Linked DNA regions of Caenorhabditis elegans. The protein of the gene in region 3 purifies or fractionates together with the protein of the main gene of each other region. This does not show direct contact. Each region holds a gene or a part of one and is shown on either strand. Other genes may lie near its edges.

What was found.
Region 1: the proteins of inos-1 (region 3) and aak-2 fractionate together in Caenorhabditis elegans (co-fractionation; one large-scale study listed by BioGRID). This does not show direct contact.
Region 2: the proteins of inos-1 (region 3) and swsn-4 fractionate together in Caenorhabditis elegans (co-fractionation; one large-scale study listed by BioGRID). This does not show direct contact.
Region 4: the proteins of inos-1 (region 3) and disl-2 fractionate together in Caenorhabditis elegans (co-fractionation; one large-scale study listed by BioGRID). This does not show direct contact.

What each region holds. Positions count from the first base shown.
Region 1 is NC_003284.9:16,794,483-16,802,091, forward strand, and holds the start of aak-2 (5'-AMP-activated protein kinase catalytic subunit alpha-2), read left to right. Parts: upstream 1-1,606; coding exon 1,607-1,749; intron 1,750-2,632; exon of another isoform or gene 2,633-2,692; intron 2,693-5,224; coding exon 5,225-5,388; intron 5,389-5,563; coding exon 5,564-6,032; intron 6,033-6,206; coding exon 6,207-6,325; intron 6,326-6,550; coding exon 6,551-6,656; intron 6,657-6,745; coding exon 6,746-6,851; intron 6,852-6,900; coding exon 6,901-7,108; intron 7,109-7,209; coding exon 7,210-7,521; intron 7,522-7,609. UniProt on the Caenorhabditis elegans protein: Acts as a sensor that couples lifespan to information about energy levels and insulin-like signals. Role in motility and response to oxidative stress. Involved in the establishment of germline stem cell (GSC) quiescence during dauer development.
Region 2 is NC_003282.8:11,124,148-11,131,670, reverse strand, and holds swsn-4 (SWI/SNF chromatin remodeling complex core catalytic subunit swsn-4), read right to left. Parts: upstream 5,648-7,523; 5' UTR 5,598-5,647; coding exon 5,142-5,597; intron 5,095-5,141; coding exon 4,870-5,094; intron 4,823-4,869; coding exon 4,596-4,822; intron 4,549-4,595; coding exon 3,756-4,548; intron 3,708-3,755; coding exon 2,058-3,707; intron 2,014-2,057; coding exon 1,507-2,013; intron 1,462-1,506; coding exon 976-1,461; intron 928-975; coding exon 847-927; 3' UTR 509-846; downstream 1-508. Other genes in the region: ard-1 (3-hydroxyacyl-CoA dehydrogenase type-2), read right to left, coding at 113-271, 355-378; Meiotic recombination protein spo-11, read left to right, coding at 6,936-6,983, 7,029-7,198, 7,249-7,483.
Region 3 is NC_003280.10:11,697,817-11,701,933, forward strand, and holds inos-1 (Inositol-3-phosphate synthase), read right to left. Parts: upstream 2,485-4,117; 5' UTR 2,447-2,484; coding exon 2,130-2,446; intron 1,908-2,129; coding exon 993-1,907; intron 946-992; coding exon 600-945; 3' UTR 501-599; downstream 1-500. Other genes in the region: xpf-1 (DNA repair endonuclease XPF), read left to right, coding at 104-480, 2,783-2,872, 2,918-3,043, 3,684-3,821, 3,872-4,021.
Region 4 is NC_003281.10:5,441,431-5,447,034, reverse strand, and holds disl-2 (DIS3-like exonuclease 2), read right to left. Parts: upstream 3,869-5,604; coding exon 3,765-3,868; intron 3,718-3,764; coding exon 3,408-3,717; intron 3,156-3,407; coding exon 1,947-3,155; intron 1,761-1,946; coding exon 1,281-1,760; intron 1,236-1,280; coding exon 1,047-1,235; intron 997-1,046; coding exon 742-996; 3' UTR 529-741; downstream 1-528. Other genes in the region: skpt-1 (F-box domain-containing protein), read left to right, coding at 1-153, 204-399; T24G10.2 (DM2 domain-containing protein), read left to right, coding at 4,306-4,350, 4,395-4,478, 4,529-5,287. UniProt on the Caenorhabditis elegans protein: 3'-5'-exoribonuclease that specifically recognizes RNAs polyuridylated at their 3' end and mediates their degradation.

The DNA.
Region 1 (7,609 bases), on a different chromosome or scaffold from region 3:
GCGATAAGAGGCGCCTCCGGGCCGCCTTAAAGCCTCAATTCTACGTGGCGAAGTTCTCAACAAAGTTTTGTAAAATTTACGACAACTAAAAATTTTTTCAGCACATTCTGATTTATTATTTTAGTCACCGACTTTAATGGGTGGCCTTTAATGATTTTGAAGTTAATTTGAAAATTTTTAAAATCAATAAAGATGAACATGGACATGGATTTTTCACAAAACTAACAATTAAGAGGCAACAAAAACAAACATAATGATAGTTGTTAGAAAAATGGAAATTGAACAAAAATTTCAAAAACAAAGAAAGCAAGTCAACAAGTGTCTAACGAAGAAGTAAACTTTTCTCATCACTTGGACGCCGAGTGTGCTCAAAACCATTGTGCTCCGAAATATGACACTTTTCAACTCGTCCCATCGTTCAAAGTTATTATTCCCTCTCATTTTTTTTCCCGCGCTCTCGTTGGCTCTCGTATCATGAGCTCTCGTTGACAAGTAACTTTTAAGTTTCAAAATTTATCTATAGTTGTTAAAGTATAATGTTTTCCTAGAAGCTGTAAGCTTGGCAGGTGACTTTCCCTGCGGGAATTGCGAAAAAAATAGAGACTGAATAAAACGCATATACTGTTTCATATTGTCTGGCACGTGCCTTGTGGCAGGAGGTATACCAATACACTGCCCCGTTCTGATCCGATTACTTTGACAAAAGTCGCCGAGTCTGATACTCACAAACAGTAGCGTCAAGTGAGGAGGGCTCACTTTACCAGAATTTATTATGAATGTTTCTGGTATCATCACATTGTTTCAACTTTCCACGCGCTGTTACATTGCGTTTTGAATCGATTTTTTGGTATTCTGCCAAATATAGCTTCAGTGCGTTGCACTCGAGCATCTGAACATATTTGCTTTTTGTTTGGCGAGAGGAAGGAAAAAGCACTGAAAAGTGCTTAAAAATCGTTTTGAAATAAGGATTAGTAACTGGATTAGAGCTAGAGCATTAAGTGATATTAGGCAATTTTTGTTATTTCTAAAAATATGGAACTATGCGGGTGGAATTTTTTGTTCACATGAACGTGTCAAAAAAATTGTTAATGTTCATACCCTCATTTACATTTCCACTTTTATGGCATTTTGGAAAAAGATGGCTATATTCGCCCTGTTAGTTTTAGAAAACCTTTTCCACTAGATATTGAAATTTCGAAGTGAAGTTTTCGCTTTCATCAAACATTCTTCGAGAGCTAGCTTCAATTGTTCTCCTTCATTTTTTCTATTGCTTTATGTTGCATTGAATAGCTAAAAAAAAATTCAAAAAGCTATCCCTTCAAAAAAAGAAAATTCGCTGCTTCTCGACGTGAAAAACAATGAAAAAAGTGTTCGGTGAGTACTTGTTCTATTTACACAGCAAACCTTTTTAGCAGCCGAGCTGTTAGAAAAACCAAAAAACGCCACCAAAATATGCTTATTCACATTTTCCGTCATCACCATCGCCGCCGATTTCTGCGCATGACAAAGTGGCTTTTCTCTCTTTTTTTGGATTTCAAGGTCTAACATTGCCGTTCTAATGCCCGTTTTTTAGGTTACATTTCAAAATAACCGACTATTTTCAGAAATGTTTTCTCATCAAGATCGAGACCGCGATAGGAAGGAGGACGGTGGTGGAGACGGTACTGAGATGAAATCCAAGAGTCGGAGTCAGCCAAGTGGACTTAATCGCGTGAAAAATCTTTCAAGAAAGCTATCGGCAAAGTCAAGGTTAGTTTTTGAGGGGTTTTCGGGGGGTCAAGGGAAGTCAAAAACCGCAATTCTAAAATTTTGCGATGGGTAGCCACAGAAGGGATGTTCTTTTCATTTGAAAATGTGAAAAAGATTAATTTTTTTTAAAACCACACTGATGAGTTTAGTGAAAAAATTAAACATGCTTCTAGCGCCTCAGCTAATCAACTCAGATTTTCCGTACAAATTACTTTAGTATTACGAAATATTGAAAAATTCATCGGCCCTCAGCAAATTAGATTCCAATTCGGGAAAATACTGAATTTTCCCTGAATTCCGTGTTTTGTCTGTGTGAATTAAAGATTGTTCACATTTAAAATAACGTACCAAGGTTTTTTTTTGAAAACTTTCTAGATCACTAGTTTTTGAAAGACTAAATATTAATTTTCAGCAACTTTTTGTAAACGCCCATTACGATTAGCAAAACAGAAAAAGATAACAGCAAAAATGTTCAATGCAAAAACAAAAGAAAAGAGACTGGAGCCTTAATGCAAAACGAACAATGTGGGGGCCCTTCCCGAATAAGTGAGCCGCGCGGAACGCTGCCGCCCTCCACTAAACAACGCGCGGTACGATACTCCGTTCATCGGACCAACTTCCCCCCTCTTTACCTAGTTGGCAACATTTTCTTCGTATTCTCACGGATTCTCCTCATTCATTCCGCTTTCAAACCCAATTTCCGTGCATTTAGCATTGGAAAAACACGTGCCGCAACGTATCCGAAAATAGTGTGAGACGCAGACGGCTGGCGCCCCGCGTGAGGCGACCAAAAGGCTTTTCTTCTTTTTGTCCTCCGTTGAAAATCATGGTAAATTGAGTGATCTCGTTTGCGTATTTGTGTGTATGAGAGAGTGTGAGTGTGTGTGTGTGTGTGTGTGGACACGCCAAAGCTTGATGGAGTCACATGTATATCATGAAAAACACAAACAGATACCACACCAACGAATCTTGAACCTTGAGTTCTTCCGCCAGTGTTCATTTTTAACATCTCTTCATCGTTCTGCAAGGAGACCTGTCAAAATTTCCAACAAAAAAAAGAGTTTCCCATAAATTAGGAAAATTCTGATAGGTTCGGAAGTTTTCCGTGAAGTAACTGAATATATTTTCAATGATCACGAGAAGGCAATTGAATAAATGTTAGTTGGAAAATTTTTATTGAGCTTCTAGATTTTGTTGTCTAATATTTGAGCCTCAAACTTTTAATATAGGTTATTATTTTTTATTGCAGCCGACAATTTTTTGTGGCAATTTATATACAAAAGCATAAATATCTGAGATGCTTAGTTTCATAGAAATTCAGTTCAAGAGGCTTCACCGTATAATATAATATATTCTTGCTGAAACTACAGGAAAATTTAGTGGGAACTTGTGAAATTTGAAAGCTCCCAGATTCGATTTTGTCATTCTTTTATGCAATGCAAAAATTATTTTTAAAAAACTGTTTTCGACATTTTCTCATGATTTGTGAAAAAGTTTTTTTCTCAAATAGAAGTTAAGCTCATTTTTCTAAATAGTTTTTCTAAACCCTGGATTGTCTCAAATCCGCTGTAGAAAAGTTGAAGCGACTGACATCTTATGAGCTAAATTTTTCCTGAGTTTTTGAAATAGACTACATCTTGATAATTGAACATTACAGTTTGACAAAATTTATAAAAATATTGATCAGTTGGATTTTATTATTTTTCTGTTGTTTTGTTCTAGCTCCAGTAGGGTGGATATTTTTCAAAAATCTCAAATTTTTGTGCAACTTCTATTAGTACAAATATAAAAATATTTCAAACGTGCACTTTTTGAACATGGACATACGTTAAATTTCCAATATAAAGGGCAAACTTTCAGCTGAGTTAGGAGAATATGAGCAGCTGTTAATCACATAAATCTAACAAAAAAACCACATGTTCCAACTTAAAATTGATTTCAAAATTTTGTGGCCAAAATGAAACCCTACGATGTCAGCCGAGTTTACTTTTTCAAAGTGCAGTTAGAAAAATTGTCTCAATTTTTTATCAGTGGAAACGTTTTTGGTAGTCTCACTAATTTTAAAGTTTAACTCGTTTTAGTAGAAGTCATTTAAAAAATTCAAAAATTGCGGTGTAACAGTTCTTTTAATACTTTTTCAAATGCCATAAATCGTCTGTAATTAATTTTCTACCAACTTGACAATTTCAATTAGTAAAATCACAGTTTTAATGCATAACTTTTTGATGCTAGTCGTATCAAATTGTGATTATTGTTGTTATCTTCACCACTTATATTACGAGTGTATCAAATTTCGATGACACAATACGGCTATTATTCATTGAGCGCTTGTGTTTTCTCTATCGTCTCCACTGTCTGACCTTCGATGATGTTTTTCTACATGTTTTTTTGTTCTCTCAAAATAGATGTTTCAGTTCCTCCAACCTTTTGAAAATCTGTAATTGGTGTTGATTTTGGAACCTTTCCTATTGTCTCTTCTACCATTCATATCCGGCACATTTATGTCAAAACACTGACTGCACCTGCTGTTTTTGAAATTTAGTGTCTGGTGTCTGGGCGGCAGTCATAAGACCTGATGGGCATACGGTTTTCCTAGAGACTCCTACTGCAATGGTCATTCTGTGATAAGAAGTTGCTTTTTTGTTTATCCATTCAAAATTACCATCCAAAAACCACACCAGTTATCAATTTTTAAGTCTTTGAGACCCGTAAAATCAATCAATCATGTCCACATTGCACTTTTGCCTGTAGAAAAACGCGATTTTCGGTTTTCAATCTTATCTCATTTCTGGTTTTCGTTCCCATTTGACTACTTGTTGTCAATTTTTTAGGTTAGGTCTAAATAAATATTAAAGATTTTTTAAAAATTTAAATGAAAGTTCAATTTCTTCTTTCTATTTTTTTGTTCCTACCTACCAACGCTGTTTGCGCCGGAGGACGATAGACATAAGGAAACGAACACACGGGATGCCTTTCCCTTCTATTTTTCTCCTCTTTTTCTCTATCTCTCGCCATTGCTTTGTGCTGTATGGTCAACTCTCGTTGTCTTCGCTGTGCGTGTGTGTTTGTCTGTTGTTAGAAAACGAGGAAAATTGTGAGAAAGAGTGAGCGAGGAAGATCGAGAGAGAAGAGTGTGCGTGTGAGAGGTGTAGGGGTCGCGAGAGTGTGCGGGAGGTTGGCGGACCTTTTACCACATTTTCGGCCAAAGGAAAAAAGGCATCGATCTTTGTTGGTTGTAGTTCTAGACATTTTTTGTTTCTGCTATGTTCTCAAAACACCAAAACTTGTTCTTAGATTTCTGATCTTTGAAAAATACATGCTCTTTATACACTTGTTTTTCTCGTTGTTTTGCTATTTGCAGGAGGTTCCTCGTGACTGTATTTATTGATTTTTTAACTGAACAATTATTCTGAGGAACTTGTGAATTCGAGATTTTACTTACGATCATTTACCTACCAACAACGTACGTTTTCAGAAAGGAACGCAAGGACCGCGATAGCACAGACAACAGTTCGAAAATGTCGTCTCCAGGAGGAGAAACGTCGACGAAGCAGCAACAAGAGCTCAAAGCTCAAATCAAAATCGGACATTACATTCTCAAGGAGACACTCGGAGTTGGTACTTTTGGTAAAGTAAAAGGTAAGCTACAACACCTTAAAATTCAACCAAACCGGAAAGTTAGAAACTTTTTCATTTGCTGCAACTTCCTGGCAACACCATAAGCTGCCAAATTGTTGCAAAAATTTTGTCCCAATCTGCCAAATACTGACATATTTATCTTTCTTTTCTGTTCATCTAGTTTTCACATTTTCAGTTGGAATCCATGAGACAACTCAATACAAAGTGGCTGTCAAGATTCTGAACCGTCAGAAGATCAAGTCACTGGATGTCGTTGGAAAGATTCGCCGCGAAATCCAAAACCTCTCGCTCTTCCGCCATCCGCATATCATCCGCCTCTACCAAGTCATCAGTACACCTTCTGACATTTTCATGATTATGGAGCACGTTTCCGGCGGGGAGCTCTTTGACTACATTGTTAAGCACGGACGGCTGAAGACCGCAGAAGCTCGTCGCTTCTTTCAACAAATCATTTCCGGCGTTGACTACTGTCATCGTCATATGGTTGTCCATAGAGATTTGAAGCCAGAGAATTTGTTGCTCGATGAGCAGAACAATGTGAAGATTGCGGACTTTGGACTTTCAAATATTATGACGGATGGTGACTTCTTACGCACCAGCTGCGGATCGCCAAATTATGCTGCCCCTGAGGTTATTAGCGGAAAGTGAGTGATTATGGTGGTCTCCTGATCATGGTTCAATGTAAAATAAAAACCAAATTAGAACTGAATAACAAAACATGAAACATGTGTTCGCAAACACCAAGACGACATTTTGCACTAGTAGAAATCCAATTAAAGTAATTGAACAAGATTAGACACAACAACTTTGTTTTGCAGGTTGTACGCAGGTCCCGAAGTTGATGTATGGTCGTGTGGAGTCATTTTGTATGCACTTCTTTGTGGAACCCTGCCATTTGATGATGAGCACGTGCCAAGTCTTTTCAGAAAAATTAAATGTACGTTAGTGTGACATGAGAATCAAAACACAAAAATGGCAAAGGATTACGACAACATACCAATTTCATTTAGACATATGAAAGCGAAATGGGATTTGAAAATTGAAATATCCCTATTACAAAAGGCACTATTACTATGTTTTGGCGCACTGCCCGGGTGATAAATGTTTGAAATTTAAATTGGAATCATTAAAAATTATAACGTTCACGAAATATGTTTTTTAGCTGGCGTATTCCCAACTCCAGACTTTCTGGAGCGCCCAATTGTAAATCTGCTTCACCATATGCTCTGCGTAGACCCGATGAAGAGGGCCACCATCAAGGACGTCATGTAAGTGGTCTTCTAAAAAGAAAAAAAAAACAAACATCGTTGCTATGAGACGCCAAGGAAACAAGACAATAACTGCTTTATATTTTCAGTGCTCACGAGTGGTTCCAGAAGGATTTGCCGAACTACTTGTTCCCACCAATCAACGAGAGTGAGGCTTCCATTGTTGATATTGAGGCTGTCCGAGAGGTCACTGAGGTATTAATCGTGTTCGATAGGAGCAGAAGTTTCTAATCACAATGAAAAGTTTCAGCGCTATCATGTCGCCGAAGAGGAAGTCACCTCAGCATTGCTGGGAGATGATCCACATCACCATTTGTCGATTGCATATAACTTGATTGTTGATAACAAGAGAATTGCCGATGAGACTGCCAAGTTGTCAATTGAGGAGTTTTATCAAGTGACGCCGAATAAGGGACCTGGACCAGTTCATCGCCATCCAGAGCGCATTGCAGGTAGGAGAGGGTGCATAGAAAAACTCTTGGTGGCAAAGAATAATAAAACTTTTGCATCGAACATGAAATTCGTAAAACAATATCTAAATCTTCAATTTCAGCGTCAGTCAGCAGCAAGATCACACCAACTCTCGACAACACGGAAGCCAGTGGCGCGAACCGCAACAAACGTGCCAAGTGGCATCTGGGTATCCGATCCCAAAGTCGTCCGGAAGACATCATGTTCGAGGTGTTCCGTGCGATGAAGCAGCTGGACATGGAGTGGAAGGTGCTCAACCCATATCATGTGATTGTTCGTCGCAAGCCTGATGCACCCGCTGCCGACCCGCCAAAGATGTCGTTGCAGTTGTACCAAGTGGATCAGAGAAGTTACTTGTTGGATTTCAAGAGTTTGGCCGACGAGGAGTCTGGATGTAAGGGTTTTCTTTGTTTAGATTGAACTTTTTGAAAGTGGAACCTGTTTAAAATATTTAGTTAATCGTTCTAGAAAATACTAGAAAA
Region 2 (7,523 bases), on a different chromosome or scaffold from region 3:
CGTTTCTATTTTACAAAAAAGGGCGTGTCGAGACAGAGATCGCAAAATTGGCGTCTGGGTAATATTTTACTTGAAGTTTCTCTTTACAAATGTAGCATGAAATCATTGTTACCGAAGCTGGTGTAAAGATTCCTCCGATCTCCTTCGCAACATCGGCTCCTTTTGACTGTGGAAGATCAAGAATAGCGACCTGTGCACCAGCCTTTGCCAAAACTTCGGCAGCACCCTTTCCCAGTCCAGACGCTCCGCCAGTGACGAGAGCAACGAGACCCTGAGAAGATAGAACGTAGGGTTTTCAGATAACACTTTCAATTTTGGAGCAAGTATTCAACCTTTTCAAGCTCTTAAACTCACCTTAGTGCTTCTGAGTGCCGACATTTGTTCCCGTTTACCTAAATCATAAGTGTGTTTGATTAAACATTCAAAATCTCGAACTAAGACGGAAAGTATTTAATAAAAGAAATCGCAACGAAATTCGAAAATAATTCTTGATAACAAAAGCATATTTCTCTCGAAATGTTTATAAAATTAAATTTTTCTTTAAAATAGTTGACGAATAGTATGGATTAAAAGTGGAATATGGGTTAAATACAATGCTTAATGCTTTTGTTTCAGGGATTTTTTCCTGCAAACGTGTAGCTTGCGACAGAAAAGAGAAGTAGAGATAAACAGTAAAAAAGCGATGAGAGATAACTGTGAAGCAGGAGAGATAAGAATGGGGGAACGAGGTGGGACATATTTATGGTGACAGCTCAAAAAATCAGAAATCATAGAACATGAAGAATACACAAACAGAGAATAAATGTTTATGGGGACATGAAAATATTTGGAGCAGACTAGTTTTGATCACTCGTCGTCTTCTTCTTCCTCATCCTCGTTCGAGAAGCGGCGAGTTGGACGAGACTTTCGACGGCTTGATGCTGGTTCCTGGAAATTAAATATTAGACTTAAAGACATTAAAAAAGTTCAAGTAACCTTCTTTTGTCCAATGATCTCCTCTTCTTCATCTTCTTCCATTGGGTCTTCACTATCTTCCGATTCCTTCTTCTTTTTCGGTGGTGGTGCACTTGCAGACGATGTTGATGGTTCATCATCTTTCTTAGCTTCCTCGGTCTTTACAGAAGACGAAGTTTCTTTTTTCTCGTCCTTTTTGGGGGTTACTTTAGTTGAAGCTTGTGCACGTTGAGCTAGCATAGCCGACTGCATATATTGAAGCATTAGGGCTTGATTTCCACCGGTCTGTGTCATCAATGCCTGTTGAAACTGCTGAGCCTGTGCGGGTGGAAGTGATTGCATATGTGTCATAAGCATTAACATTTGCTGAGCAGTTGCCTGTTGTGTCCGCTGAAGATCTGACACACTTGGAGTGCCACTGGTTGAGGGACGAGAAGATGAAGTTGATGGGGTTGAAGGTTCTTTCTTCTTGACTGGTTCTTCTACTGGCTTCGGTGGATTCATAAACTGAAAAAGTAATGTAAACTTCGAAATTTCAAAAATCAATCATACCTTATCGTATTGTTCCTTCCACAATTTTCCGATTGTTTCAGAGCTAACATAAATCTCACTGCCTTCTTCGTTGTATGTTTGAGCATTGTTCACAAGCAAATTCATATCATCATTCAATTCTTCCATAACCGTATAACGTCCTGTTTCGATCTTTTTGTTGATTCGATCGAAATCCATTGGTTTGGAAATCACTTGATAATAGTCCGGCAGTTCTTTACGAGTTGGAAGTGTCTGGAATACATCCGCGATGAGTTCTCCATCCTCATTTTTATATTCTAGAATAACATCAAGCATTTCATTGATTTTTTCTGCCAATTCTGGATCCGTCTTCTTCTTCTTGTGTTGTAGAACAACGTCATCCATAGAATCATCATTCTCGTCCAATCCAGCCATTTTACGTTTTCTTTGCTTTTTACGTTCAGCCACAGCTTGATTATTTTCATCCTCAACTTCCTCAACTTGTTTCATGAACTGTTCATCGGACAAAAGATCGGAAGAGTAGTCGACCTGAAAATGAATTAATATTGTAAATTCTCTTATATATTCCTTACCTCTCTTCTGCGTCTTCTCTGATTAGGAGTTTGATCAACAACTTCACGACCTTCCTCTCTGGCTCGTTCCATTTCCTCATAATCGAATGACAATTTGAGAATATCGTCTGGAATTTCATGTTCTTCTAGAAGACGGGGTTTACGGTGAAGTTGATTAGCTTCTTCACGACGACGATCAATATCCATCGATTGGAAGATATTAAATTCTTCCTCTGAGCGAGCAACCATCTGATTCACAGTTTCATCATCTGGAACTTCCTCTTCTTCTTCCTCTTCTCCGTCTGCTTGAATAATTTGTTCGAGCATTTGCTTTCTTTCAGCTCCAGTTGAACGTTGATCGAACTTTCCTGCTTGAATAACTTTCTCGTCGACATTCAACTTGTAGCGAGCAGCGGCAAGAATTTTCTCTTCAACAGAGTTAGCTGTGATGAGACGAAGAACTCGAACTTCTTTCTTTTGTCCGATACGATGTGCACGATCTTGAGCCTGCATATCCTGATGAGGATTCCAATCCGAATCAAAGATAATAACAGTATCAGCAGTTTGCAAATTGAGTCCAAGACCTCCAGCTCTTGTAGAAAGCATGAAAAGGAACAAATCACTGTTAGGAGCATTAAACTGTGTCAGCAGATCTCCACGCTCGTCTGGTTTAGTTGAACCGTCTAAACGGAGGTACGTGTATCTTCGGAAATTCAAAAAGTCTTCGAAAATGTTCATCATAGACGTCATCTGGAAGAACATCAGAATTCGATGACCTGTTGCCTTTAGTTTCGGTAGAATACGATCGAGAAGTTCCAACTTTCCAGCAACACGCATTAGATCGGTTCCATTGACTTCGTTGACCTTCCAGTATGCACGGCAGGAATCTTCAATATTAGGGAAAAGGAACGGGTGATTGCAAAGCTTGCGAAGATGCACGACAGTGTTCATCAACGAACGTGCTCCAGATGACATTTTAGCGTCGAGAAGCAATCCTTTCTGCATATGACGATAAATAACCTTTTGCAAAGCAGACTGGTCACACTTGATGACATACTCGGTCTTGTCAGGAAGCTGTGATTCTACTTCCTTTTTGAGACGTCTCAGCAAGAATGGACGAAGAACCTTGTGCAGTCTTCTGATGATGAGCATCGTCTCTTCTTGATTCAGTTCTACTTTCTCTCCTGTAGTCGCAAATGGAGCATTGAACCATTGTTCGAAAGTTCCACAAGATGAGAAGATCGATGGAAGTAAGAAGTTCAGCAGAGCCCATAGCTCAGGAAGTTTGTTCTGAAGTGGAGTACCAGTAAGAAGTAAACGATGCTGAGCATGGAAGAATCCGTTCAACATCAATGTCAATTTACAATTGTGATTCTTCAAACGATGTCCTTCGTCGATTATCATATACTTCCAACGGATTTTACCAAGCAGTGCTTTCTCTTTGATCACATATTCATATGTTGTCATCAAAACGTTGAACGCTCCTTTTCTGATTTGTCCTTCAACACGACGACGAGCATCTTTAGTTCCTTTATAGATGATAGTGGTTACAGATGGAGCCCATTTAGCAAATTCGTTCTGCCAATTGGACAACGTGGAGAGCGGTACGATGACAAGATATGGTCCATTGTTTTGTTTGACTTCCATCAAATACGTCACCAACGAGATTGTCTGAAAATTAAAAATTGATTAATATTTCCTCATTTCCCAAATTCCTACCTGAATAGTTTTTCCTAGACCCATTTCGTCGGCGAGGATACCGTTCAGATTGTTGTTGTATAAGGAGACCATCCATTCCAATCCCTTAATCTGATACGGTTTCAGCAGAAGATTCGGATCACCACCACCCATCGTTGTGTGTTGCTTGACAACCTTTTCTTTGATTTTGTGAGCAGTTGCATAGTAATCAGCCATTTGCTTTTTCGTTTTCTGATCATATTCATCCTCTTCGTTACGTGCCTTCTCGAGGATCATCTTAGCTTTTGTCTCTTCATCCATTCCAGCGTACTGATCATCCTTCTCTTCTTCTGGTTCCACTGGAGCCTCTTCCTCTTCCTCTTCTTCGTCATCACTAAGCTGATCACGTGGAACTATCTCATATTCTGGATGAGTTTCAAGCCAAAACTCAATTTCTTCAGTCTTTGGAGCTTGATCTCCAGTAAGCGCTTTTCCAGTGCTTCTCTCCCGAACGTGAACCCTGGCTTCCTCATCCATTTGATTTCCTTTTTCAATTTTCTTATCTTCCTTCTTCTTTTTCTTTTCGGTATTTTGATGTTGACGAACAAGTGAGCACAGAGAGTCGACGTACTCATCGGTTTGTTGAAGAAGATACACAAGACGTTGATCTTTCTTCTCATCAAGAAGAGCACGATATCCTTCTTCATCTTCTTGCATCAGTTTTTGCATACGAAGTTTTTCATTTCGAATCTCGTCCTTCTTGCGTTCACGTTCATTGTTTTGATGATATGTCATGACTGCCTTGCGAGACTTTGCCATTTTCAGAAGATTGTTTCTGAAAATAATTTAATTAGTAGGAGAACTTTCTAAATACAATCTCACCTATGATACTCCTTGAATTCCTTTCCATGCTGAATGATAGCTTGCATCAAATCAGTATGCTTCTGCCTTCTCTTTCTTTCTTGCTCCATCTTTTGTTGCTTCTCAAGCTTTTCGGTAACACGAGCTTCGCGTAAAGATTGCCGCTTTGTGCGTCGATACGCATATGGATTGAGTGCAGTTTCGAGAGTTGTGTCTCTTTTGAGACAAGCCATCACTTCACTGCGCACCTAAAAACAGCTTATTGGTTAAAATACTCTTCGAATCCAGAAATTACCTGAGTTTGGAGATTGACAAGACGTAAAGCACGCAATTCGATTTCTGCTTTCAATTTCATGTGATCTGGAATGTCGGCGGGTAAGTTATTGAGTAGCTTCATGCGTAGCCCGATTCTGTTTTGAATCATATTTTCTCTTTGCTTGAGCATGCCAACAGGATCAATTCCTGATGGAACAGAAATTGTTGTTGGACGATTACAGCGTATTTGATGGAGATTGAAAATCTGTAAAAAAGTAGACTGTATAGTTTCATTCGATCCATTTTACCTACCTTCATCAAATCATACGGCAACTTTTCTCCATTCTCTGCCTCTCCTGGATATTCATAAGGTTCAGGCAACAAAGTTGTAACTTTTGGTCGGAGCATGACAGCATCCGCAATCAAGTTGGCCGGTACTTGTTCATTTCGAGCCAAAAGACGATAGGCTGACACTTGAGCCCTCAGTTGATTGAGTTGTGCTGGGGTAATTTGTTGATTCCCGCCATTTTCCTGTCCTGGAACGGCGTCTGGGAGACCAGATTGGAGTTTTTGCTTCAAAAGAACTGCTTTGGCGTGTCGATGGTCATTCTGAAGACCTTGTTCCTCCATTGAAGTTATCGCATTTTCCAGTTTGGAAATTGTCAGCTCTTGGCCTTGAGCTCCATCACCAGCTTGCTGAGCAACAACTTCACCGGCTGGTTGCGGTGGTTGAGCAGTAAACTGCTCAAACGCCGGCCTTCCGCTCATTCTTCAAAATTCCAGCAATTTGATACACTATCTTCTTTCAAATTGATAGTCTGAAACAATTATTAATTCAGAATTTTAGATTCAATTGAACATTCAAGATAAACAAAAAGTATTGCGGTAATAGTATATAAGCGAATTTCAGAAGAAGCCTGCGTGAATAATAAAACCGAGGACAATATATAGACTTTCCATCCATCCTAGTGCAAAAAGAGTAGGACTGATGGAACCGAGAAATAGCGTGCAAGTGAAAGAGAGATGTAGTGTATTGCAGGACACAACTTTCGGCGCGCATTCAAAATTTCTAGCGCATATAAAACACGGAGAACTCTTCGGGGGCCCTTTGTGAGCTAGTGAGATAAGAAAAGCTAAGAAAAAACTAAAAGATTGACGATTTCTAAAGATTGTGAAAAAATCGATAAGTAGTGACGTGTACGAATCGACTTTTCATGAATCCTGAGAGGTTTTTTCGTTTTCCAACGACGTATAAGTGTATACTGATAACTAGTATCGCTTGATATCGTGAAATTCGTCTGAAAACCGAGAAAATCCATGAAAAATGGTCTAAATTGTGTGTTAGACTAAGCAGCTGGGGAAGAAGAAGGTTTGAATGTATGCAGTGGACGCGCCGAGCGTCGATTGGCCAGAGAGGCAAAGTGAGGAGAAACACTATTGGAAATGGAGAGACGCAGACACTCTGCATGTCTGCCTGCATTGGAAACGGGCCATTGCGGCGGAGAGGACAAATGAATGGGAAAAGAGACAAGAAAAGAAGGAATAGTGGAAAATACAAGAAGACTACGGTAGATATAGACCATATCAGAGCTTCATTATGACTATTTGAATAAAGTATTTGAAGGAAATTTAATATAGCAAAAATATTTCAGCGCAACAACATTTAATGCTAGTTTAAGAAAAAAATGAATACTATACATAAATTTTATATTCTATAAAAATCTTCTTCGACTGCGACGAAATGAATGGTGCAGTCATTCGCTTCAAAATTGCATTTAAGCTGTGGTTTTTCGGCAGGGATTGAGAAAAACCGAGTTATATTTAAGAAATGCATTTTAAAATATTTTTTGAAGAAAAATGTCAATTTAAGAATATAGAAAAGAAGATCGAACATTGAGACTCGTCGGCGCCGAGTATTAAAAATCTGACGAAAATTACAGTACTACTCCGATTCGCTGCGGGACCCGTGCTTTATTTTCACGTATGGTCCTTTCGATTATTGACTTTTTGTATCTTGCAGCTGGAGCCTTATTAGCTTGCGTCCAAGTTTTATCAAAGTTTTATTCCATTTTATCTGTATTTTTGTTCTACTAATTAGTTTAAAGCATGTATGAATATTCTTTCAACCCAAATATCGATCATGAGCCCGGATCTGTAAGCTTAATATTGCTGATTCAAATCTAATTTTGCAATTTTCAGGTAGAATCTCAACAATCCACTATTTATTCGGATTCTGATGATTCTGATGACAGTTTTCTTGACGATGAAGTAATACCACCGAAGGAACAAGCTATGAGAAAAATTGAATTCGCTCTTGCAGATATTAAAAGGCAAATGGATAACAAAGAGAAATCGTTGACTTTGAGAATGTAATAAGTTCCTGTTGAAAATGTTTGAGTAATTTTGTTTTTTTTTTCAGATCGACTAGTAAATCACATTTTTGCCTTCGTTATACAGCAAAGAGGAAAGGAAAATTGGATAGAGATTTGCACTGTCTTCACCAAGTTTATGATTTGCTCGAAAATGACAAAAGATCAACGAAAAGAGAATTGTATTATGAACATAAAGCAGTTTATGGAAACCAGAAATATTTAGACAGTTCAATAAAATCAATTTGTGAGCTTTTGAATGAAAGTCGGGCTAATTTAAACATTGTCAGTGTGACATTAATAAACAAGAAATAATTTCCAAATT
Region 3 (4,117 bases):
AAGCTCGTTTTTAAGTGGATTTTTTCATTTTCACTCGATTTTTTTCCGGTTTTTCTCGCCATTTTCAAGCAGAAAACACCTCTCTTCAACCTGAAATTTTCAGCACCATCGGTTCTTGTCATTACCAGCTCCGAGGATCTCTCCCGCCAGGTCACCGACGTAGTTCGTTATGGAATCAATAAAATGAAGTGGATGACGTGGAGACAATTGGGATACAAAAGCACACAGGAAATGCCTGAAGATGAGCCTTTATGGGATCCTGATACGATTTCTCAACTTATGAGAAGCTCAGTAGATGGCGAATCGAAAAGTGAAGTGATTGCAAATGTTCAAAAAACTCAAAAAACTACGGCTCGAGCTGCTCAAAAGCGGCGAAAACATGCGGAAGAGCTCAGCGGATTCTCCAGTGATCATCGTGTTCAGACCAATTTGATACAGTTCGGAATTCTACAGTATAAGCGTCGAAAATCTGGAAATGAGGTAAGAAAAAATAGGCAAATAACATAAAACTGATTCATTCAACAAGACAAAACAGAGAAGAAAAGAGAAAAAAGGGTTAGTTTTGAAAATTGAAAATAAATTCGCGTCTATCATCATCATCACTGAGATTTCGATTTTGCCGCCGGAAGTTGGGTGAAGAATTCGATTTGCATATCAGTGTCCGATGGGAATCCTGCCAACGCGGTCACCAGCTTCGTGAGCGTCGAGAATTGTCGCATGAAGGCATTGCTGATCGGCGTGCCCGGTGGCACAACTGGAGCCTTCAGGAGCAGCGAAAGGATCGAGAGCACCGAATGGAATGGCTTGTACTCGTCGTCGACTTTGTAGGAGACACGGCTCGCGAGCTCCGTGAGAATCGCCAGGTCGTAGATGAGAGGCGAGGCGAGCAAAGAGTCCTCGCACGTGTTGTGAACCACGAAAGTCTGCTTTCCGCCCATGAAGATACTGGAAAAATTGAATTTTTTCAAGGAAAATTTATATGAAAAACCAACCTGCAGATATATTCGTCCATGGCTCTCTTCGAATCAGCAACATATGGTACATACTTGATCACAACGCAGTGATCCGGATTCTTGGCATCTGGGAAGAGGATCTGATTCGATTTGACCATATCATCGACGACCGATGATTTCGAGATCTCCTTCGAGCGGAATTGTCTCGCCTCGCTCAAGTTCTTTCCGTCATTGTTTCCGAGATGGTTGTACGAGACGATCGATTCGGGCTTCATACCACTGCTCACCAGGAAGTCCACGAACGCCGATTTGAACTTCGTCTGTCCCGACTTGAAATCATCACCTCCCACGAAGACTTTGTGACGCTCGGCGAGCTCGATGAGCCCTGGCACGAGCGTATTCTGCGGCGATCCATTGATGTAGTGAGCACCTTCAAGAATCGATGCCACCGCAAAGATGTTCGACGGCGACACCTCGTCCTCATTCACACGAATCGACTCCATAATCTCGTCGGCGGTGGCGTTGAGCCCCTGGCGAACATCCGTGTATCGCTCCGTGTTGGCCGTCCACAACACGATCACACATTCCAGCTCGTGCTCCTGCTTGAACTTGCGAATATCAGCTCGAATGTGCTCCAAATGCTCCAACTTGTTGTCTCCTGGGATCACATTATTCGCACGATCTCCCTGATTCGAAGCGATAAAGTCCGGATAGTAGATCGACGGCAGCGGTACGATGGGCTCCATGAATGGGCGGAGCTTCTCCTGAAGCTCAGGTTCGAAAACCTTAGCACGCCCCATAGCCTCGTACAGGTTCGAGTCGCTGATGTCCCAACCGCTGATGATCAAGTCGTTCGGCGAGAGAATCGGCACGATGTCCTTGAATGGCACGAAGATCTGATTCTGGGTGGCAGAGTCGTAGCCCAAGTGAACAGTCGCAGTTTGGGTCACGGACCTGAAAATTTTGAATTTAAAGTTTCGAATTTCACGAGAGAATATGAGAGGAAACTACAAAAAAAATCGAACTGAAGCCTCCAGAAAAAGCCTACATACAGGCTGAAAATAGGCTTCAAGCCAATTTTTCTCGTACTTTGGGCATTTTTTCGTAGTTTTCTCCCACATTCTCACTAATATTACTGTTTAAGCCTAAGACTATAAAAATCGATAAACCACTAACCCAAAATAATTTGCCTGACTGTGTCCCTCCTTGGTCCGCCACGTCATCGCGTACTGGTTGGCGAAGATGGATCCGACTGCGGTCGAGCCGTTGTTGCCGCCGAGTCCCACCAACAAGAGCCCAGTCTTGCGTGGCTTGAGTACCGTCTTGAACGAGTAGTCGTGCTCCTTCGGCGTCACGTGGAGCCCATCGGCACGATGCTCAAAGTGGTTCTTGCGATAGGTGAACCGACTTTCGAGCACTCCGTCCTCCAGCTTCACATTCGGCGATTCGACGATCAATCTCTTCGAGATTCCATTAACTTGGGCCGAGCTCATTGTGCAATCGCGTGTGGGGAGCAGAGTCCTTTTATTACCTGCAAAAATGAAAGAAATTAAGAGCTCTTAAGAGGAAAAGAGGAAGACGCAGCAAAAATAAAAGAAAGAAGACGTGAGGAGAGAGTCACAGAGAGACCAAGAGACTGAGAGAAACAGAAAAAAGTGCACGACGGCGCCGGCGCAAATGAATGCACTAATGCTGCTGCTGCTGCTCAGAGAGCAAGAGCCATCGGCTTGCTCCGCCCAAAAGTCCAAAATTCCTGGCTCCACCTTCACTTAGAGAGCACGCAGAGCACATACGGTAGAGAATACAGAAATATAAACAATTTTTTCCAGGCTTCTACATCACAAGAAACCACAGAATGGGAGGTTAAAGAGGAGATGGAAGAGATTGAGGAAATCACGAAAAATATTGGAGATCTTGAAGTTTATACCACAAAAAAATTGAGAAAAAAAAAAGAAATATTTTAGGCCGAACTGGTGGTGAGCACGACGAGAGAACGCGAACGATATACTTTGTTGAAACTTCTGGAAACGAAGAAACCTCGCGCCATTGTGCTCTACACAATGTCGCTGCAAACGTTGAGGCAGATAGAGGTCAAAATTTGATTATTTTTGTCTTCATTTTTTGCGTTAAAATTTTTTTTCGTTGTTGAAAATTAATTTTAAAAATTCTATCGAATTCTTAGAGAATTAAATAGATTAACAATTCTGCCGATTTTCAAAGAAAAAGGTCTCGACACGATCGAAAAAAAAATTAACTAAAAGTGGTGTGCGCCTTTAAAGAGTACTGTAGTTTCAAAATTTTGTTGTTGTGAATTTTTTATCGATTTTTTCTCGTTGTTCCTCATTTTGTGTAAACTTTTGTGATTTTTTGATTATTTTTAGGACAAATTAGTGATTTTTAGAGGAAAAAACTGAAAAAAAACCGGGTTTTTTTCCGTTTTTCCTTATTTCATTTATAATTTTTTCTGATTTTTTTTAAACGAAAAAAAGCAACAAAGCGATTACTGTACTTCTTAAAGGCGCACACAATTTTTCATTCCAATTTATTCTGTCGCGTCGAGACCGGTTACTGTCAAAAATCGCTAAATTTCGTATTTTTTGGAGAATTCAAATAAGTTTTTTTTTTTTATTTTTCTCAAATGGAAAATTGGAAAAAATCCGATTTTCTGCAAGAATTTCATCTTAGAATACAGCTCGGTATTTTTAATTTGAAAAATTATAAAAATTCCAGATCTACCGTTCCACAAATCCCAACAGATCCCTTCATGTATACTGGCTTCAATACACCGAATCAACCGAAGAAAGTCGATATTTGGAGTCGATTAATCGGGAAACAATGTCATTTGAGTTGCTCATCAGAGAGCAAGGAGTAGGAAAATTCCAGGAGCACTTAAAAATATTCAATTTTCCAATTTTCAGACTCTTCTGATTTCCCGCGAGTTCAACGTAGATCGAGAAGATGCTCCGCGACTCAAAATTTCAACTAGAGATGGTGGTGGTGCTCGACGAGATGGAGCAGTAGATCCCAGAGACCAGATGGATCCAGAGGAAGAGTTGGAACGGCCTAAAGTTAGATTTTAAATTTAAAAAATGAATTGGAAAACGAAAAAAAACTGTTGCCTGTCTGTCTTCAAGGCTACCTACGCCTGCATTGTGCCTGAAAAA
Region 4 (5,604 bases), on a different chromosome or scaffold from region 3:
TCTCGCCGCAAAATCCAACTACGTCACCGACCTCGACTTGTCGGATAACGTCGAGATTAGTGATCCAGGCCTCGCAGTGATTCTGAACAAATTCCCGAGACTTACGACAATTTCTCTCAATCGATGCTACGGATTGGACCCTAATATGGTTGTGTGAGTTTATTTGAAAATTAGTTTAATTTATTTAAACAAAACATTTCCAGACACTTCAACAGTAAGCCTTCGCTCGTTTATCTCAACGTTCATGGCTGCGTCTCTGACACGAACATGGAGCTTTTCCTCGAAATGTGCTCCAATCTGAAGGTCAACCGTCAGTACTTCAACTTCACCGCCAAACCGGTCAGCTACCAATGCGAGTCGAATATGATCTGGGGACAGACAATGATGGATATCGAATAGATAACAATACATATTATTTTAACTGCACTTCTCAATTGTCCTATATTTCTCTAGTTTCTAATTTTCTTAACGAGTTACGTGACAGTTAACACCCAAAACTTGTCAAATAAAAGTTTCGCTAGTAATATTGAATAATGCATTTTCATTCGACACCAAAAGTAACCGGGACGAGGAATGGACACGCGTTTTAAAAAATACAACGGGAAAATGGAATTTAAAGAAAAAAAGGATAAAGGAGAAAAAAAAGGATAGAAAAAGGGAAAAAAAGGATAGAAAAAGGGGAAAAAAGGATTGAAAAAGGAAAAAAAGCTTTTGCTGGAGGAGATCACTGAATCCGAATGACTACTGAAGAATTGTTGAGCCCGTTTCTTTCATGTCCTTGAGAGTCGACTTGAGAATATTACGTTGCTCGAGACTCGGACGAACAATTGTCGCGCTGACTTCAATGCTTTTGTACGGCACGAGAATCACGTAAACCACGTTGCACATTTGAATTGAGCTCGAAAACTCTTCACGGTTTCCGGATTCCGCATTCGGATCTGCTGGCCAGTAAATGGTAAGCTTCTCGGTCGATTTGTTGAAGTCTCGCTTCATTTTCTGAAATTATTCGGATTTTTTTTTCGTCATTGTTTGAAATCTATACTCACATCCACATAAACTCTCTTCACAACTCCATACTCAACGATGAGGACGTCGAATGAGAGATCCATTACACCAAGAACAACAGCTTGGCACTTCATCGGACCGGTTTGATGGATGAAAACTCCAAAATAGAGCATCGCAGACTCATCCGAAGCTTCCTTCGATGCGAGCTTTGTGTCATTGCAGCGGGTGCACTGAAAATTTAAATGCAAAAATTTCTTGAGTGTTTGAAAACTTACAATCTCCTGTATCTCTTCAGGAACTCTTTCAGATCTTTCATTATAACCAAGAGCAGCAGCAAGTTGTCGATGAACAATCACATCTGGATACCGACGAATTGGCGATGTGAAATGTGTATAATGATCCACGTTGAGAGCAAAATGATGATAAAATGAAAGAGGCATCTCGAAAGTGCAAAAATATTTCGCCTGTTGCATTGGCTTAATTGTCAATGAGGAAATTACTTGTCGAATGCACATATCCAAACGGGATTTTCCTTGATACTTGCGAAGTGACGTGGAAAGTAATCCAGACGTTCTTCCGTCCAATGGAAATCCAATTCTTGCACATTGCTCAGCCACGTCCTTTATCATTTTCTCTTTTGGTGGCGGGTGATTACGAAGAAGGGCGTGTTCTGGGAAATTTTCAGCGATCTTTTTAGCCACTTCCATATTGGCGAGCAGCATGAACTCTTCTACGAGTTTATTCGAATCTTTGATCTGAAATTTTAACATTTGTATTTTATAAAATTGGCAATTCTTTTTAAATTTCCGATTTTTGAAAATCTAAATTTATGGATTACTTTTTTGTTGCTAGAACCGAAAAAATGTGACCAAAAAATTGCTGTTTGAAAACAAAAATTAATATAAAAACACATTTTCTTTAACAAAAAACTGTTTATTAACCTCGTATATAGAAACTCCTTGTGGCTTCTTATCCTCATCCAATGCAAATTTCAATCTGGGAAGCTCGATCCGCAATGCTCCACTATCTTCACGCTTTTGTCGAAGAACTTGCGCGATTCTGTGCAACATCAGAGTCTTTTCCTTGATCTCAAAAGGCGTATTTCCATCTGAAATATCGGGAAGCTCGTCGCATGTGAAGTCCTTCTCCGGGTTCTCGATGAAATCCTGTGCATGTTCGTAGGCAAGTTTAACACGGGATCTGATAACAGATCTTCCAAACCAAACATCATACAGCTCGGCTTCGTAGCTCATTTTGAATACAGTTGAGAAGGAGAGGCGATCGACTCCAGGGTTCAAAGAGCACAGCTGCTCACAGAGGATTCTTGGAAGCATTGGAATTACAGTTTGTGATAGATAAGTACTATTTCCACGTTCGGATGCCCATTTGTCAAGCTCTGTACCTTCTTTCAGGAAGAATGTAACATCAGCAATATGAACTCCAATCTCAAGGCCTGGAGTTCCTTTTCCGTCACAATCATCGATGTGTTTCGCGTGAAGAGCATCGTCGAGATCTCTAGCGGTTTTTGGATCGATTGTAAAAACGATGTCACTTCGGAAATCTCTTCGGTACTCGAACTCGGCATCAGGGACCTTCCAGTTTTCGGCTGTAGTGATTGGAAGTGATTCGAGGCATTCGTCGCTGAACTCTCTGTGATCGATTTGGTGCTCGTAGACGATTCTTTCAGTTTCTGTATCGATTTCTCCGGACATGCCAAGAAGCTTCACGAGTCTTCCATCGGCATAAACAGATTCAGCGCGCCAATCAGTGATCTTAGCTGTGTAAAGGAATCTCTCAAAGTCCTTTGGGCGTGAGAAGAACTCCTTATCCACATCGGATTTTGGAATGAGAATTCGAGGGACACGAGAATCTGTAGCAACGAACAACACGTTGGGATTCGCGCTGTTTGGCATTAGCTGGAGCTTGCCGGCGGCTACACGGAAATGTTTCTTCTCAAGGATATGAACAATGGCTCCGATGGTGATGAGACAAGAATCGGGAACTTCGTCACTTGTAACTCCATTGTCTTGAATTTCGTTGCGCAGACATCGTTTTTCTGTTTTATTTGGGCTATTGTTGTCCGTTTTGCCGCTATTTCGATCTCCTTTCTTGTGCTCCGCCCACCATTTCACATATTCCACATAGTTTACCTGGAAAAATAGTTTTTTCCTCGAAGAATTCAGATTTTGTGAACATAATTTGCATATAACTATTCGAAATTAGCAGGCTTTAATGGATTTTAGATGTTTTCTTTTTTCTCATTTTTAAATTCCTAGAATTAAAAATAAATTTATGTAATCTACAGGAAGAATATCCACAAAGCTCTAAAAGATTCGTGGAAAAATAGGTATTATTTGGATGAAATCAGTTCTAGTTGTTTTTTTCAAATGATTAAACCGTACAAGCCAATCCTCTTTTGGCTTGATCTTTACAGCCACCACATCTCCTTGCATCGCACGATTCCGATCTTGGCCCAAAACAAGAACATCTGGATGATTTGTGCCTTTTGGATGATCCAAAAAACATTCTTGATAGTTTTTTGGATTTATCCGCAAGACACCTTTGAACATTGAACCGTCTTCGATTCCGGCATCTGTTTCCTCCTTTGATATGTATTCGGTGAAGATTTTCCGCGGATTGAAGTTGTTTTGCAAATTATTTGCATTTTGCGGCTTCACATATGGTTTTGCTTTTGTTGGAGTGGTTTTGACTCTGAAAAACATAAGATTAGTAGAGAAATTTGTGAAATTATGACTTACGTAGCGGCAGCACCAAACTTTCCGCCTGTAGCTGTCTGAGTGAGGCCCTGCGGCTTCAACGAACCGGGCTCTGTCACAATAACGGGACTTTCAACTGCTGACATCTAGAATAAATGGTAATTTGGGGGAAATTATGAGAAGAAACGAGAGGAAAGAGGAAAGTGTAATTTCGCAACAAAAATTTACAAAAAGTACAATCAAAACAACATGGAAATATATGGAAAGGATACGGTATGCAAGTCCGCAAACACCGTGCACATAACAATTTTCACCGTAGTCGTCTCTTTTATTTTCTTGTCAACGCGGTTTCGGGAGGCGGGCCTTTTAAAATTTCACGAAGAATTCGAATTGTTTCCCGATTTTTTTAAAAGATTTTCAAGTTATAGTTGAATAAATACATGTTCAACTACCATCTGAACCTATTCATCATACAACATTACCCCATAAACCGTGTCCGCCAATTAAAATTCAATTAGACGATAAGTTATTGATTTTTTTGGTTTTTTCAGATCGCTGTCGGGTAAAATCAAGCCAGGTCAAAATGACAACTGAGGAGCCTATTTCTTCGTTCCCCATGGACAAGGAGGTAATCTATTGCACAATTTTAAAGAAAATCATGTAAATTTTCAGGCTGCTGAGGAGGAAATCGCATTGTTGGTTCGCAAGCCAGGTTTCGACGAATTAACTCCATCGGATATCGTAAGGCATATGAATGTGAGTTCAAAGCGTGGGAATCCGCAACTATTTATCAAAAAACTTTACAGAATCGTTTTAATATCAACTTTGACTCTTATAAATCGCAGCTTAAGAAGATGGTTATCGAAGAAATTAAGAAAAGAAATGATGAAAATGGCTCAGATAGTTCAGATGATGGTGGAACTGACAGTGATAGTGATCATGAAGAAGGGGAGGAAAAGAAGGAGAAAACAGAAAAAGTCAAGAAAGAAGAGCTGCCAGTAAAAGCTAAAAAAGAGGTGAAAGAGGATTCCGACTCGGATAGCGGTGTTGAAGATGCTGTTATGGACGGGAAGAAGAGAGGAAAGAAAACTACTACAAGGATTCCACCAGATATGGCATCAAGCATCAAATCTACAAGAAGAGCTGCTGCTTCGGACGCTCTGAAACAGATCAGAAATACCTCGGAAGGAGGTAGATTTGCGAATAATAAGAAGAAGAAGGTGAAGGATCCAAATGCAGATATGTCTGGAGTCTTTGGACCAATGACAAAGCTCTGTTATATCAGCACAGAGCTTCAACAAGTCACCAAAGATCAGTGGATGAAGCGTTGCGATGTGGTGAAGGCTCTCTGGGATTATATTAAGGAAAATAATCTGAAGGATCCAAAAAACGGACAATACATTATCTGTGATAGCACACTTGAGTCGATCTTCAAGAAGAATCGTCTGAAGGGATTCGGAATGGTAAAATTCTTGACAAGACACATCATTGGAACCAGTGATATGGCACCGGAAATGAGAGAAGAGGCTGAAGCCGAAATGGATAAGCGTAGAAAAGAGTGGAAGGTGAGGACAATATTTGAGCAAAAATCGCCTGAAAATTTGAATTTCTTCAGAGTAACAACGGAAAACCAATTTAAAATTTTGATTGCAGCTGATTTTTCTAAATTAGATGTGATATAATCTTCTAAAAAAGATTAAATTTTGTTTAAAAACTATAAAAAAATTAGAATTCGAGGTTTTTAGACGATAGTATCACAATTCGAAGACATTTCCTTTTCGTTAAAATAAATTCAGAAAAAACACAGCAGAATCTCCCTGATAAAATTGTATAAACTTATTGGAAAAAAATGCCGAAAATGACGGAAAATTCGATAAAATAA